3 linked regions of the Alligator mississippiensis genome follow. The protein of the gene in region 3 binds, or shares a complex with, the protein of the main gene of each other region. Links are inferred from orthologs where the notes say so. Each region holds a gene or a part of one and is shown on either strand. Other genes may lie near its edges. The genes, in order: USPL1, SENP1 and small ubiquitin-related modifier 3.

The links.
Region 1: the proteins of small ubiquitin-related modifier 3 (region 3) and USPL1 are in contact, whole or in part, in a crystal structure (PDB 7ZJU), measured with the Homo sapiens proteins. The link is inferred for Alligator mississippiensis from reciprocal best matches to the Homo sapiens genes SUMO3 and USPL1. Residues at the interface, in NP_008867.2 of Homo sapiens: Gln24, Asp25, Gly26, Ser27, Val28, Arg58, Arg60, Gly63, Gln64, Pro65, Ile66, Asn67, Asp70, Leu75, Phe86, Gln87, Gln89, Thr90, Gly91; in NP_005791.3 of Homo sapiens: Ala234, Cys236, Trp237, Pro321, Gln322, Leu323, Arg324, Met330, Glu331, Ser332, Val334, Phe335, Leu339, Tyr368, Thr378, Thr380, His393, Phe394, Gly395, Pro396, Asn398, Arg407, His421, Val423, Tyr451, Asn454, Asn455, His456, Phe457, His493.
Region 2: the proteins of small ubiquitin-related modifier 3 (region 3) and SENP1 are in contact, whole or in part, in a crystal structure (PDB 6NNQ), measured with the Homo sapiens proteins. The link is inferred for Alligator mississippiensis from reciprocal best matches to the Homo sapiens genes SUMO3 and SENP1. Residues at the interface, in NP_008867.2 of Homo sapiens: Gln24, Ser53, Arg55, Gln56, Arg58, Arg60, Asp62, Gly63, Pro65, Asn67, Thr69, Asp70, Gln74, Glu76, Asp84, Phe86, Gln87, Gln88, Gln89, Thr90, Gly91, Gly92; in NP_001254523.1 of Homo sapiens: Gln440, Asp441, Glu446, Arg449, Leu450, Thr451, Lys455, Trp465, Leu466, Asn467, Asp468, Glu469, Asn494, Thr495, Phe496, Lys500, Arg511, Trp512, Lys514, Lys515, His529, Gly531, Val532, His533, Trp534, Gln597, Gly600, Ser601, Asp602, Cys603.

The regions. Positions count from the first base shown.
Region 1 is NC_081824.1:425,964,632-425,968,373, forward strand, and holds the start of USPL1 (SUMO-specific isopeptidase USPL1), read right to left. Parts: upstream 2,875-3,742; 5' UTR 2,680-2,874; intron 1-2,679. UniProt on the Homo sapiens protein: SUMO-specific isopeptidase involved in protein desumoylation. Specifically binds SUMO proteins with a higher affinity for SUMO2 and SUMO3 which it cleaves more efficiently. Also able to process full-length SUMO proteins to their mature forms.
Region 2 is NC_081838.1:9,123,019-9,126,760, forward strand, and holds the start of SENP1 (sentrin-specific protease 1), read right to left. Parts: upstream 2,373-3,742; 5' UTR 2,282-2,372; intron 1,921-2,281; 5' UTR 1,881-1,920; coding exon 1,877-1,880; exon of another isoform or gene 1,706-1,876; intron 820-1,705; coding exon 689-819; intron 1-688. Other genes in the region: PFKM (ATP-dependent 6-phosphofructokinase, muscle type), read left to right, coding at 3,307-3,475. UniProt on the Homo sapiens protein: Protease that catalyzes two essential functions in the SUMO pathway.
Region 3 is NC_081830.1:33,436,155-33,439,896, reverse strand, and holds the start of small ubiquitin-related modifier 3, read left to right. Parts: upstream 1-834; 5' UTR 835-928; coding exon 929-949; intron 950-3,742. UniProt on the Homo sapiens protein: Ubiquitin-like protein which can be covalently attached to target lysines either as a monomer or as a lysine-linked polymer. Does not seem to be involved in protein degradation and may function as an antagonist of ubiquitin in the degradation process.

The sequences.
Region 1 (3,742 bases), on a different chromosome or scaffold from region 3:
CCTCCCCTTCTACCACAACGGACTGACCAGCTGAAGGCAGCTCTCCACGCTGCTGGCTCTGCTCTTTTGGCTGCCTGAGTGCTGTGCTGCGGTTGCGCGCAGCATGAGCATTTATCCACCAAATTATCGGCCCCGTTGGACCGATATCTGATGCAGAAAATTTTCTTTATATTGGTACTGATCCGATATTGGACCAATGTATCGGTGTACCTCTAATTATTACATATAGTTAAAACCATAGGGGTTTTTGTGTATCATGTGACAAGTAATTTTCTGCTGCTGCCCTCCCCAGAAATGCACAATATTAAAAAGGCAGGCAACACGATTCACTAGTATATACTATTTAGTGATCTATCATTGTTTATTTGGCTGCTAAACTTTTAGTTACATCTCCCTTCAGAACAGGGGTAGGCAACACCTAGCTAGCATGCATACCGAAGTGTGGCATACAAAGGCATTGTTTGGCATGCACACCTTGGAGAAAGGGGTGGGGCTATGCTGCCACAACAAGGATCCGGCCCCTTGCAACTCCCTACCATCACATTAACATTTTAGAAGTCAAGGCTGTAGGTGTTTTTGGCACCCTGCAAAAACATTGCTGACCCCTACTTTAGAAGCTCAGCAAAACCGTGACACTGAAGCTGTGGCTTTTGGAACACTGGCAGACATATAAATAATGTCATGGTATCTCATCCCCAATCTGAAAAAAAAAAAAAACACTCTACATATCCTACCAGGCCACAAACATATAGCAGGATGGGCAATTGCTTGGATCGAGGACCAATCCCAAATACACCATTACTTTAACAGGAACCTTGCAAATCAATTGCTTTTACAAGATTACCAGTGTAGGGAGTTGAGGGGCTGCCTGCAACTGGACTGGTTGTCTGCCTTGCCTCACAGCTCATGTAGGGACACATACCACATGCTCAACTCATGGTACCATGCAAACCAGCCACAAAAATGGTCCACATTTTATGTATTACCTTTGTGGCTGGTTTGCTACTTTATAGCACCACAGATCTCTGAATGTGTGGCACTATTCCTATTTATGGTGCGATTAACATGTACATGAACATGTGTCAGCATCCTTAATCCCTGGCCATTGAAACTGGTATGTCTGATGAATATTAAAAAATATGTATTACCTAGTTTGATTGTTTCAGGCAATATTTATCTTTTGGCTTCATTAATACTGATTTATGGATGACTTAACAGAGGAACAGAATGGATTATGTCTCAACTCAAGTCATAATCCTTTTACTATCTACTTTTACAAAGGGAAAACACTTGGACAGGACAGAATGCACAAGCTTGTGTTGTAGCCCCACCATCTTTCCCAAGATGTTATTTTGTGACATCCAAGTAAATCACAACCACTTACTTATAACAGTATCCTCAGCCATGTATGTCCATATTTTATTGCGCTTTTAAGAGTACAATAAATTTTAGCTGAAAACATTCAGTGACCACTCCTTTAGTGCAGAATAGACAGAATAAACCAACAAGTGGGGATCCCAGAGACAGCAGTACTTTTGCTCCTCAAAGTGGGCAAAACAAAATGAAGCAAAGTGGCACCAGTTGAACTGTTCAGGCATTTATATCTTTGCAACATCAGAGAGGGTTGTTTTTTTGTTTTTTTTTAACTTATTGACAATTTCTCAGTGTCACTATGATATAACAGCTTTGTACTCAGCAGTAGCCAAGAGGGACAACTACTTAAGCCCTGCTATATTCTAAAACACAGGATATATCTTATCCCACAGTCTCTCTCTGAGACAAGGCTGAAATGAAAGAAACCTACATGAGATATTTGTAGAGTCTGTGGGACAGCTTTTCAATCCCCTGTACTCTTTCCTTTTCTATCCAGCATAGGTATACCCCTCTTGCAAACCTGGTCCTAGAACTACTCCTAACCCTTCCAACACTTATCCAGAGACCCTGCATTTTAATAATCAAAAAGAAATGAAGGGGTTTCAAAAGTGTGCATTCTTAAAACTATGAAGTCAAAACTTACATCTCAAATCTAACTGAACTCATCAGAAAATAGGACAATTACTAATATTCTAAACTGAAGTGACAAAGCTTGATAGAATGTATGTCAAATCTACTGGCTTAAAAATAAAATGCCAGCATCTATTTCAGAAGCAAAATATACAAAATAGGACATCTACTTGGAGATTTTTTATAGAGTCTCTTGCAGACAAGGAAAGAGTTTATAGTCAAGAATTCCTATTCAAAGTCCTACTGACCAGTTTTAATAAATATCAACCACATGGAAGTGAGAAACAATTCTCTGCACTAACTGCATGGCTCAAACAAGCTGGACAAACTCCTGCTGGCTGGCCTCAGTTCTCCAACTGCTTTCCCCTGAAGTGAATGGGAAGGAGGAGGGGCGGGAACTACAAAGCTCATCACAGCCCGAAGTGAGATTTACCTTGGAAGTTTCCCTTGACCGTTGCCCCCCCCCCCGGCAAGCAAAGGCGGCAGTCGCAACAGCAAACAGGGATTCAAGGTTTAACTGCCCCATGCCCTGAGCCTGGCTGAAGGGTGGGGAGGGAGCCACCTCGAGGCTGCCCCGGTCTCTCGTCAGCACCCGCCCGCACTCACTTGAGGCGACGGAGCCGGCCCCGCGCACCTGCCCCTCAGCCCACCCGGCTCCAGGAGCCCGCATCTCACCTGCTCGCCGCTCCTCGCCCAGTTCTGGCCTCCGCCTTCACCCGCGAGCGCCCCGGCCCCGGCTCATGTCCCCCCACTGCCGCCACCCTGAAACGAGACGCGGCTGCCGCCCTCAGCGGGGCTGGGAGGGGGCCGTAGCCCCAGGCCAGCTGCCCGCACGTGGGTGCCGCCTAGTCCGGCCCGCGCTACGCAGCAGCACAGCGCATGCCCCGCCCCGCCCCTCACCCGGAGCCGCTCAGCGCGCTCCGGAATGGACGGCAGCCAACGCGCCTCACGCTGCGGCCGCCCCAACCCTACGCACTTCCGGCGCCCGTAGCTCGGGCGCTGCGGCCAATGGGGGAGCTCGCGCGTCAGAACAGCGGGCGGGGGGGACAGAGAGAACTGTTCGAAGTGGGGGGAGGAATAGGGGCGTTCGCGCGTGCGCAGCGCAGCGCAGCGCAGGCTCCGGAGGCTGGAGTCGAGGCGCCATTGTCGCTGGCACATGCCCATGCCGAGGCCTCGCCCTACTGCTAGTTGGGTGCCAAGACTCCATCGTCTCAGCGGGGGGAGAGAAGGGAAGTCCTGCAGAAATGATGGGAGGGGGGTGTTTATATTGCAGGCACACGTTCAGGAGGAGGGCAGAGAAAGCGTTTCAAGGACGTCCTCAGGTCCCACTTCGAAAAAATGCAGCACCAACATCAACTCTTGGACAGTGATGGCCCAGGCCCAGGATCGCCCCAAATGGAGGTAGAGTCTACTGCACAACAGCTGGAGAGGGAGAAACAGGAACAGCAGAAACAGCCTGTTGTGGGTCGGATCAAGAATCCAGAGCCACCCACCCACACAGAAATGCACACCTCAGCTGCAGTAGAGTCCGTTGATCCTGGATTGGCCTCATGAAGGAGGATCATCCTCAACTGTGAGGGATTGCCAAAGAGTATTTGTAAGGGGGGGGCGGATGTGTGTATATCTACATATACACTTATACATGTGTATATATATATGTGTGTGCATGTAGGTATACATATATGGAAAGAGTGCACGTGGCAATGCACATAAACTTCTGCATGTTTGCCACACCTGC
Region 2 (3,742 bases), on a different chromosome or scaffold from region 3:
CAGGCAAGTATGCACAAGTGTAGCCTCTATGGAGGAGAGGTCATTTGCATGCGTGTACACAGGCAAGCAGTTTTCTATGCCGAGTATGCCCAGACTGCAAGCTCTTTGCAGAAGGCAAAGCAAAGTGACACCTTAGAGACTAATTGGTTCAGAGAGGCATCAGTTTTCAGAGGCAATAGTGGACTTTATCAGAAGATGTCATCTTTTGGCTAGTGAGGTTCAAATGACATTTGGCAGAACAGGGCTTGAGTACAAGCATCATCACAGTCCAAACAGTAAAAAGACCACGATTTTGCAATGTGCAAAGTGCCTGAATTTGGACTACCATGCACCACTACCATGCATCATCTGCTATGTGGGAGCCCCTGGAGATATGCTATGCCAGGTGCTACATGAACATATCAAGAAGTCAGACAGTTCCTGCCCCCCAGCAGCTTGTAACAGATTGGCAGACAGATGGGAAGAGCAGGAGAAAACTGGTCAGCATAAGGAGGCCGTGGGACACCACACATTTAACCAGTGGCAAGGGGTTTGGCAAGCATCAAGGCAGAACCGTGGGGTTTGATTTAAATGCCGATGCTGATGCCTCAAGAGGTTAAGAGCCAGTTGGATTCACCAAGGATGTGTGTCCCGGCAATGCACATGAGCAGCCTGAATTGCTAGAAGGGAAAAGGAATGGCTCCCAAACCTTGGTTCCAGGCAGCGAAAGCTGATCCCCCAAAACTGCCCTCTGTGATGGTGGGAAGGCCTTGAACGTGGAGCCATGGTTAGCCAAGGCTGCATCTCCGGCATCCATCCTCATAGGATCAGCAAACTCATCTAAGGAAACAGACAGTGTCCATGGCCGCCCACAGGATGCTCCCCACACACTCGAGCATAATGGAAAGGAGAGATGCAAGAAAGCCGTTAACGTCTACACACTGAAGTAACGACATGGCCAAAGACCACGTACACACCAGGACATGAACAATGGTGTCAAGCACTGAGCTGCAAGTGCAATGCCCTCAGTTCTATACCTGGCTCCGTCACTGACCTCCTGTGAAACTCTGGGCATCTCTCATGGTCTCTGCTCCCTCCTCCCCATCATTTCATTTCTATTTTATCATACTCCTAAAACACAAAGGTCCTAATCTCAGGAGAAACCTCCAGGCACTACAGACATATTCATATTAATAACAGGAGGTAAACACCAGGGAGAGAGAGGAAGCTTCAGACTGGTGCCAGGGGACAGAACCAGGAGAAGTGAAACGGGATGAATATCAGGAAACTTTCTTAAGAACAAGGAAGCGAGGAGTCTGTGCAAGGCTCACATGAAGAAATGCAAGCTTTATTGAGAGAAACTGAAGGCGTCTCAATCTCACCCTCGCCTGGTGCTTTATCGTCTTATATTCCTGTGCTCAGTTCTCCACTCCTACCCACTTCATCCCTTGAACTTCAACACATTTCTCACCAATGTACACCCTTTTAGCAGTCCTGCCCTTTGCGTCTCTGTGACAAACCGCAACAGCACTTTGATACTGATCCTACCAACGTACATCACCGTAAGCGGAAAAAAAAAAAGCAAACGAACACCAGAAAAAAAGCACCGCACATTCAAACGAAACCCGTTCTTACAATACGCCATAATTACAGACAGAGAAACCGCAGGCAGACACGACGTCGGTTCCTGCACATTTTACTCCTTCAGGAAACGCGAGAGACTAACATGTCGATCAGACGTTTCTCGGCAGCCACTCGTTCAACCGATGCTTTAGGCGACGTTACGCAGATGCGAGGTCCGCAGCGGGCGCCGGCGGCTGAACGATATTCCCCGCTGGGCTCGCGCGTCGGGCAGCGCAACCCTCCAACCCGGCACGGAGGGAACACGCTCACTCACCCATCTCCAGGCTGCTCACATCCCGGACACGGATGATGCAACTTCTGGGGGCAGGGAGGGGGAAAAAAAAAAAAAAGGACACGGTGACTACGTTTGCAAACACCTTACACGCAACGTGAGAATCGGCGCCAGCATCAAAACCTCTGGTCCGGAACAGACCCTCGCTTTTCCCAGATAGCAAACTGAAGCAGAATCAAAGGTTTTCAAAGCTTCTGCTGCCCCTGACCAGCCTGCCCAGGCTCCCACGCGCAGCACGAGGGCACAGCTCCCTGCCAAGCTCTGGGCGGACAGCGACCGGAGCAACCCCACCTATCCCCGTGGCCCAAGGAGGAGCAGGCCGGACGAGCCCCGGAGGAGCCCGGCAGCCAGCGAGCGAGCGAGCGAGGGGCGCGGCGCGGCCCGTACCTGCGAGCGGCGCGGCCGGGCCGGGCCGGGCCGAGCCGAACCGAACCCCCTCAGGCGCCTCTCGCCGGAAGCGGAACCGGCCGCAGCGCGCGGAACCTTCCCAGCCGGAAGTGAAAGCCGCAACAGCGGAAGCGGAAATGGCGCACAGGAAAAAAACACCGGCCACGCCCCTTCTACATATAAATATATGCAAATGACTTTTCCTTCATTTTTTCCTATGATGACCCATTTTTCCCTTCATAAAAAACTATGTTTTTTTATTTTTTTTCTACTAGTGGTTTTCATTGAAACTGGTCACGTGCAGAGGCCCCTTGTCCTGCACTTGTGCTCCTGCCTGAAGGGACTCTTAACCGGGGCGCCTGGCACCTAGGGGTGCCTTGAGATCCTTGCAGGGGCGCTGCCAAGCACCGAGCGGTGCTGGCGCTGCTAGGTGTGCAAATAGGATCTGCAAGAGAAGCCTGTAAAGTTCAAATCGTGTTGGGCTTCCTGCGTTCTTCGCAACCAAACGCTGCTCTTTGGCTTTTCTGGAGGGCGAAACAGTGGAAACGAAGAGCTGGCGTTTGCCCAGGGATGTCACGAGTTTAAAAAAGGCCGAGAACCGCTGGTTTGAGGCACTTTCAGCCACTTTCAGCTGTGCCTTGCCTGACTGGTCGTGCTGGTTAGAGCAACCTTGAGGCTGCTCTATGCTCTGCTTCCTGGAAAAGCAGCCAGGACCCCCTTTCAGCACGCTCCACCCTCACCCCGTGCGCCACGCAGCAGCGGTGGAAGGGATGTAGACCCCTGCGATGGTTGTCTGCTGGCCATGGAGGGGATCCAGGCCAGGATGCGTTGCTATCTAGCATAGGGCGTTTCTGTGCCGGCAGACTGGCACCTAGAGGCCTTCAGCATAGGGCATAGGGCCCTGTTCCTTTAAAATCAATTTGCAAGGCAATCCAACTCAACCCCTCCAAGGTAAGGCCGTGCCCTTTATATCTGCCAATGAGGCAGCAGGAAGGCAGAGGCAGCTGCTGCAGCGGGCTGAGCTCATGTCTATAAATACCAGGCTGGAGAGCTGGCCCTTTCTGGTCATGTGGGCTCCCCTGAACTTCACACTCCTTTGGTCCAAACTCTTCCTTTCTGCGTCGCTTGCTTTTGCCGCCGTTTTCTTTTTCCTCACCTTCTTCCCCTTTTCCCAGAAAAGGAAGGAGCTGCCAGGTGAGTGGGGACGGGCAGAGCATTGAAAGCATCTGGCTGCGCACAGCTGGATCCCGCCAGCGATCGCCCTCTTGGTTTCAATGGGGCGACTGATCGGCTGAAATGCACCCAGCCGCGGGAGCTCCAGCCTGTCCCCAGTTCTAGCTCTTAGTGAGTCAAACCAGGGGGCTCTGGCCAGGACGTGAGTATGCATGTACAGTGCATGACGGGAGGGCAGCAGGTGCATGAAGAGGTTCGGTATTTGGGGATGCAGGTTGGGGCCAGCAG
Region 3 (3,742 bases):
AGGGCAAGCAGAACACAGAGGCAAGCCAGGAAATTAAAAGGAGAGAAAAGTCCACGAGCAAGCCGAGCCACGGAAACCAGACCATTAGAGTGGCATCTGCAAGCATGAGCCAGAAAAGCAGACGGCCAAGAACTGAGGGTGCAGGCTGAGATCAGAAGCCTCGTTAGCCAGATGCTCCCTGCAAGCTTATGGTAGGAGCCAGCAGCTCAGGTGTCAGCATCGGGGCTCTGGCACTGATGGGACTTTTGGAAGGCCTCATCTGCGTTTAGGACCAGCGGCAGTGGGGCAGAGGGCCATGCTGGCCGACGGGGATCTAGGCCTTTAGGTGTGACGCACACACAACAGGGGAGTCTTAACAGCACCCAGCGGCTGCCCCGACTCTGCCCGCAGGCGCAACACACCGCGTCCGCCGCGTGCAAGACTGAAAGGGCCCCTGCAGGCTGCGACAACTCCGGGCTACGCGAGGTGCCGCGTGCCCGCCATGAGCCTGCCCGGCGCGCGCTGGTGCCGCCCTGCAGGCCAGCTCGGTGCCTAGCTCGTACGGGTTGAGGCCACCAGGCCCTACCGGGGAGGAAGTGGCAGATACACGCGCGCCGGAAAGGCCGCGGTGGGGGGAGGGGACGTGCCAGTTGCCGCCCCTCCCCCACCCAGCTGCGCCGGCCGCCGCAGCGCCGCTTCCGGCCCCGCGCTGACGCACTTCCCCGCGCTACCTGCCCCTGCCCCCGCCCCCGCCCGGGCGCGCTCCCGCCGGGCAGCTGGCTCGCGAGCGCGCCTCGTGAGCGCGCCCCGACCCCACGTGGCCCCGCCGGCTCCAATCAGGGCCCGGGGATTTGGGTGTGGGGGAGGGGTGACGCGCGCTCTCGCCAGCGGCTGCGGCGGGAGAGAAGCGGGAGCCGCGAGCGCCATCGCCCCCCTCAGCGCCGGCGCCATGGCCGAGGAGAAGCCCAAGGTAACGGCGCGGGCGGCCCCGGCTCCTCCCTGCCCCGGGGCCGCGCGGGCCCACCCGGGAGGCGGGTCCCGCCGGGCCGCGGGGGGCGGGGCGGGGCGGCGCCGCGTTCGAACGGCCGTTGGGGCCGTTAGGGCCTTTGGGCCGGGCCGGCCGCTTCGCTCCCCTCTGCGTCCGCGGCCCCCGGCCCGCCCAGGCCGCAGGAGCCGGAGCCCCGCGGGGCAGCGGGCGCGGGAAGCGCGCGCAGGAGCAGGTGTCCCGACCTCGCAGTCACGGGCCCGGCTCCGCAGCTCGGGGGGGGGCTCCTGGCTGCCTCCCCCGGGCAATTGGAGATGGCCCGTGCAGCTCCCTTCCTGCCCTGCTGCTCTAGGGCACCAACACTCGTGGTCCTGCAGAGCCCGGGTCAGCCTTGAGGGATGAGCAGCTGCACGGTGTCAGGCTTGAGTCTTCGTTATGGGTCTCCCATGCAGTGATGGCTGTTGGTGCTGCTTTGCCTCAGACTAACCCTGAAACCTTCAGTTCTGTGCGAATTAGAGGAGTCCGTGGAGGCCAGGGGGCATTGCTCGAAGCTGGCATCAGGGGGCTGCCGAGGTAGCACTCTTGAGTTGAATTAAATGGTACTTGGCGGTGGACCTCGTGGAGATCAATGGAGCAGGTGTCATCTTTCAGAAAGCTTACTCTTGAATGAGAAGAGCAAGGGATGGGGCTCCCGCCTTTCCAGGGTTAGGTTAAATCTTCCTGCTGTTGTGATCTGCAGAGATCCCCGAACTTGATGCTGCAGACCGTGCGTGTTACTATCCGAACAGTTGTTCTTAAGTAGGTGGTGCGTGGTATCGTGCCCGGCAGTGCTCCTTGTTGGGGTGATGGAGGGGCTCTGCCCCATCCTGAAACCTTCATCATTCCTTCTGAGAGCCCACTTTGAACCGTCATTTCTTCCTTCGCTGGGCACTTGGCTGATGAGGTGTCCTCATCTGTAAAAGAAAACAGTCTAACAGTAACTTACATTTGGTGGAGTGAAAAGGATGAAAAGTTTAAGCCAGTGTCGGCAGGGGTTTGTGGCAGGGAGCCAGAATGGCCCAGCTTGGCTCTGAGATGAGATGGGCTGGTGCTAGGACCAGGCCACCACCCCGGCAGCCACCTGTGCTCTGCCACTGCTTTTCCTTGCATGTGCTGCAGCTCAGCAAGGTGTAGGAAAGCCTCTTGCTGGCTGGCCACAGTGCAGTACGGCCTAACGTGGACAAGTCCTAGCCAACAAGGCCACAACTCAGGCATAGCACTTCCTTTCTTTCTTACCCACCCTCCACATAAGGGCTCAGGGCAACTTACAAGCGAAGAAACGCATTAAAATATGAACACAACAAAATAATCCCCTCCCCCAAATTCAAAAGCAATCCGTCTCCATACAGCCTTTTCACTACCCAGTGACTGAGGAGAACTGGGGAGTGAATTGAATACTTCCATAAAAGAAAATAATTCCCCTCCTCCCTTCCCGCAGTTTATTCTCCCTCTGGGAGGGATGGGGAGATTTGTTTTTTTCAGGACATCCACATACTCTCTCCCTTTCCCCCCTGAGAAAGTACATTGTTCTTTTTTTTTTTTTTTTTTAAACCTCCCCTCTTTCTTCTGCCTTAATCCCAGCCAAAACGTAATGATAGAGGATGCCCTTTGTTTGGTAGCATCCTTTTGGAAGCTCTGGTGGTTGAAACTTGCCTTTGAATCCCTGTCGGAGAACTCATTGTCTGAAGAATTCTTTAGTGCTTTTTTTGTTGGAGGTCACCTGAAAAATAATGCCACCAAAGGGAACTTTAATAAAAACATCCATCTATTGCTTGCAGACTCGTATGCTTTAATAAGCTAGAATGTTGCAGTGAAGAGGCCTTGGTCAGGAACTTGTTAATATACATATTATAAACAGGCTGGACTTCACAGAGAGTAGGGTTTTTTTTCTTGATTCTTTTTGGCCAGTCTACTTACGTGCACAGAGCAGGTGATGCAGTCGTACAAGTGGAGATTGCGGACTTAAAGTCCTTGTGTAGGACGATATGCAAGTATCAAAAGCCCGGATTCTGTGAGCTTTTGAACTTTCATTTCCCAAAATCTTCATCCGTCCTTGCTCCATCCATGGGGGAAGAAAGACTTCCTAAACTGGAGGAACCAAGAGGACCCAGGAGCACTGGATTGGCTTTATTAAGCTCTACAAGTACAGCTGTTGTGCTGTGCTTCTGATCATTTTCTTCAAGTCTGGATTGGGTTATTCTATCTGCAGTCATCATCTAGAGAGAATTTTAGAAAAGACTGCTGCATGCCTTGGGTTCATCTTGCAAGAATTTTGAGCAGGTTGCACCTGGCAAGGTGGGCCCTGGGATGACTGTGCCTTTTTCAAGAAAGAGTAAAATCCCACGTTTGTAATGGCAGAGGAAGTAACCTGAATTGTTGGTCTGGGCTGAGACTTATTCACTGACTTTGTCCTGTGCTGGTAACTCAAGTGAATGTTTCTAGTGAAAAAGGAAATAGTTGAAGACCAGGGAAATAGGAGAGAAACTAAAAGTATAACAGGAAGTCAGTGAAAATATAACTAGGTAAAATTGGAAAACAAAAGGTAAAGCAGGGAAGGGAGGGGGGGAAAGGCCAAAGGAAAACACTACAGTGGTAATAATACAAGGTAAGGAAGAGGCTGTCAATGAAAAGGGAAATAGTTGGAAATCAGGAAGACAAAGGCAGCAAAGTAAGGGAAGGAAGAATGTAAAGGGTCAGGTCAGGCAGGTACCAGGTGAGTCAGATATCAGGCAGGTTGTA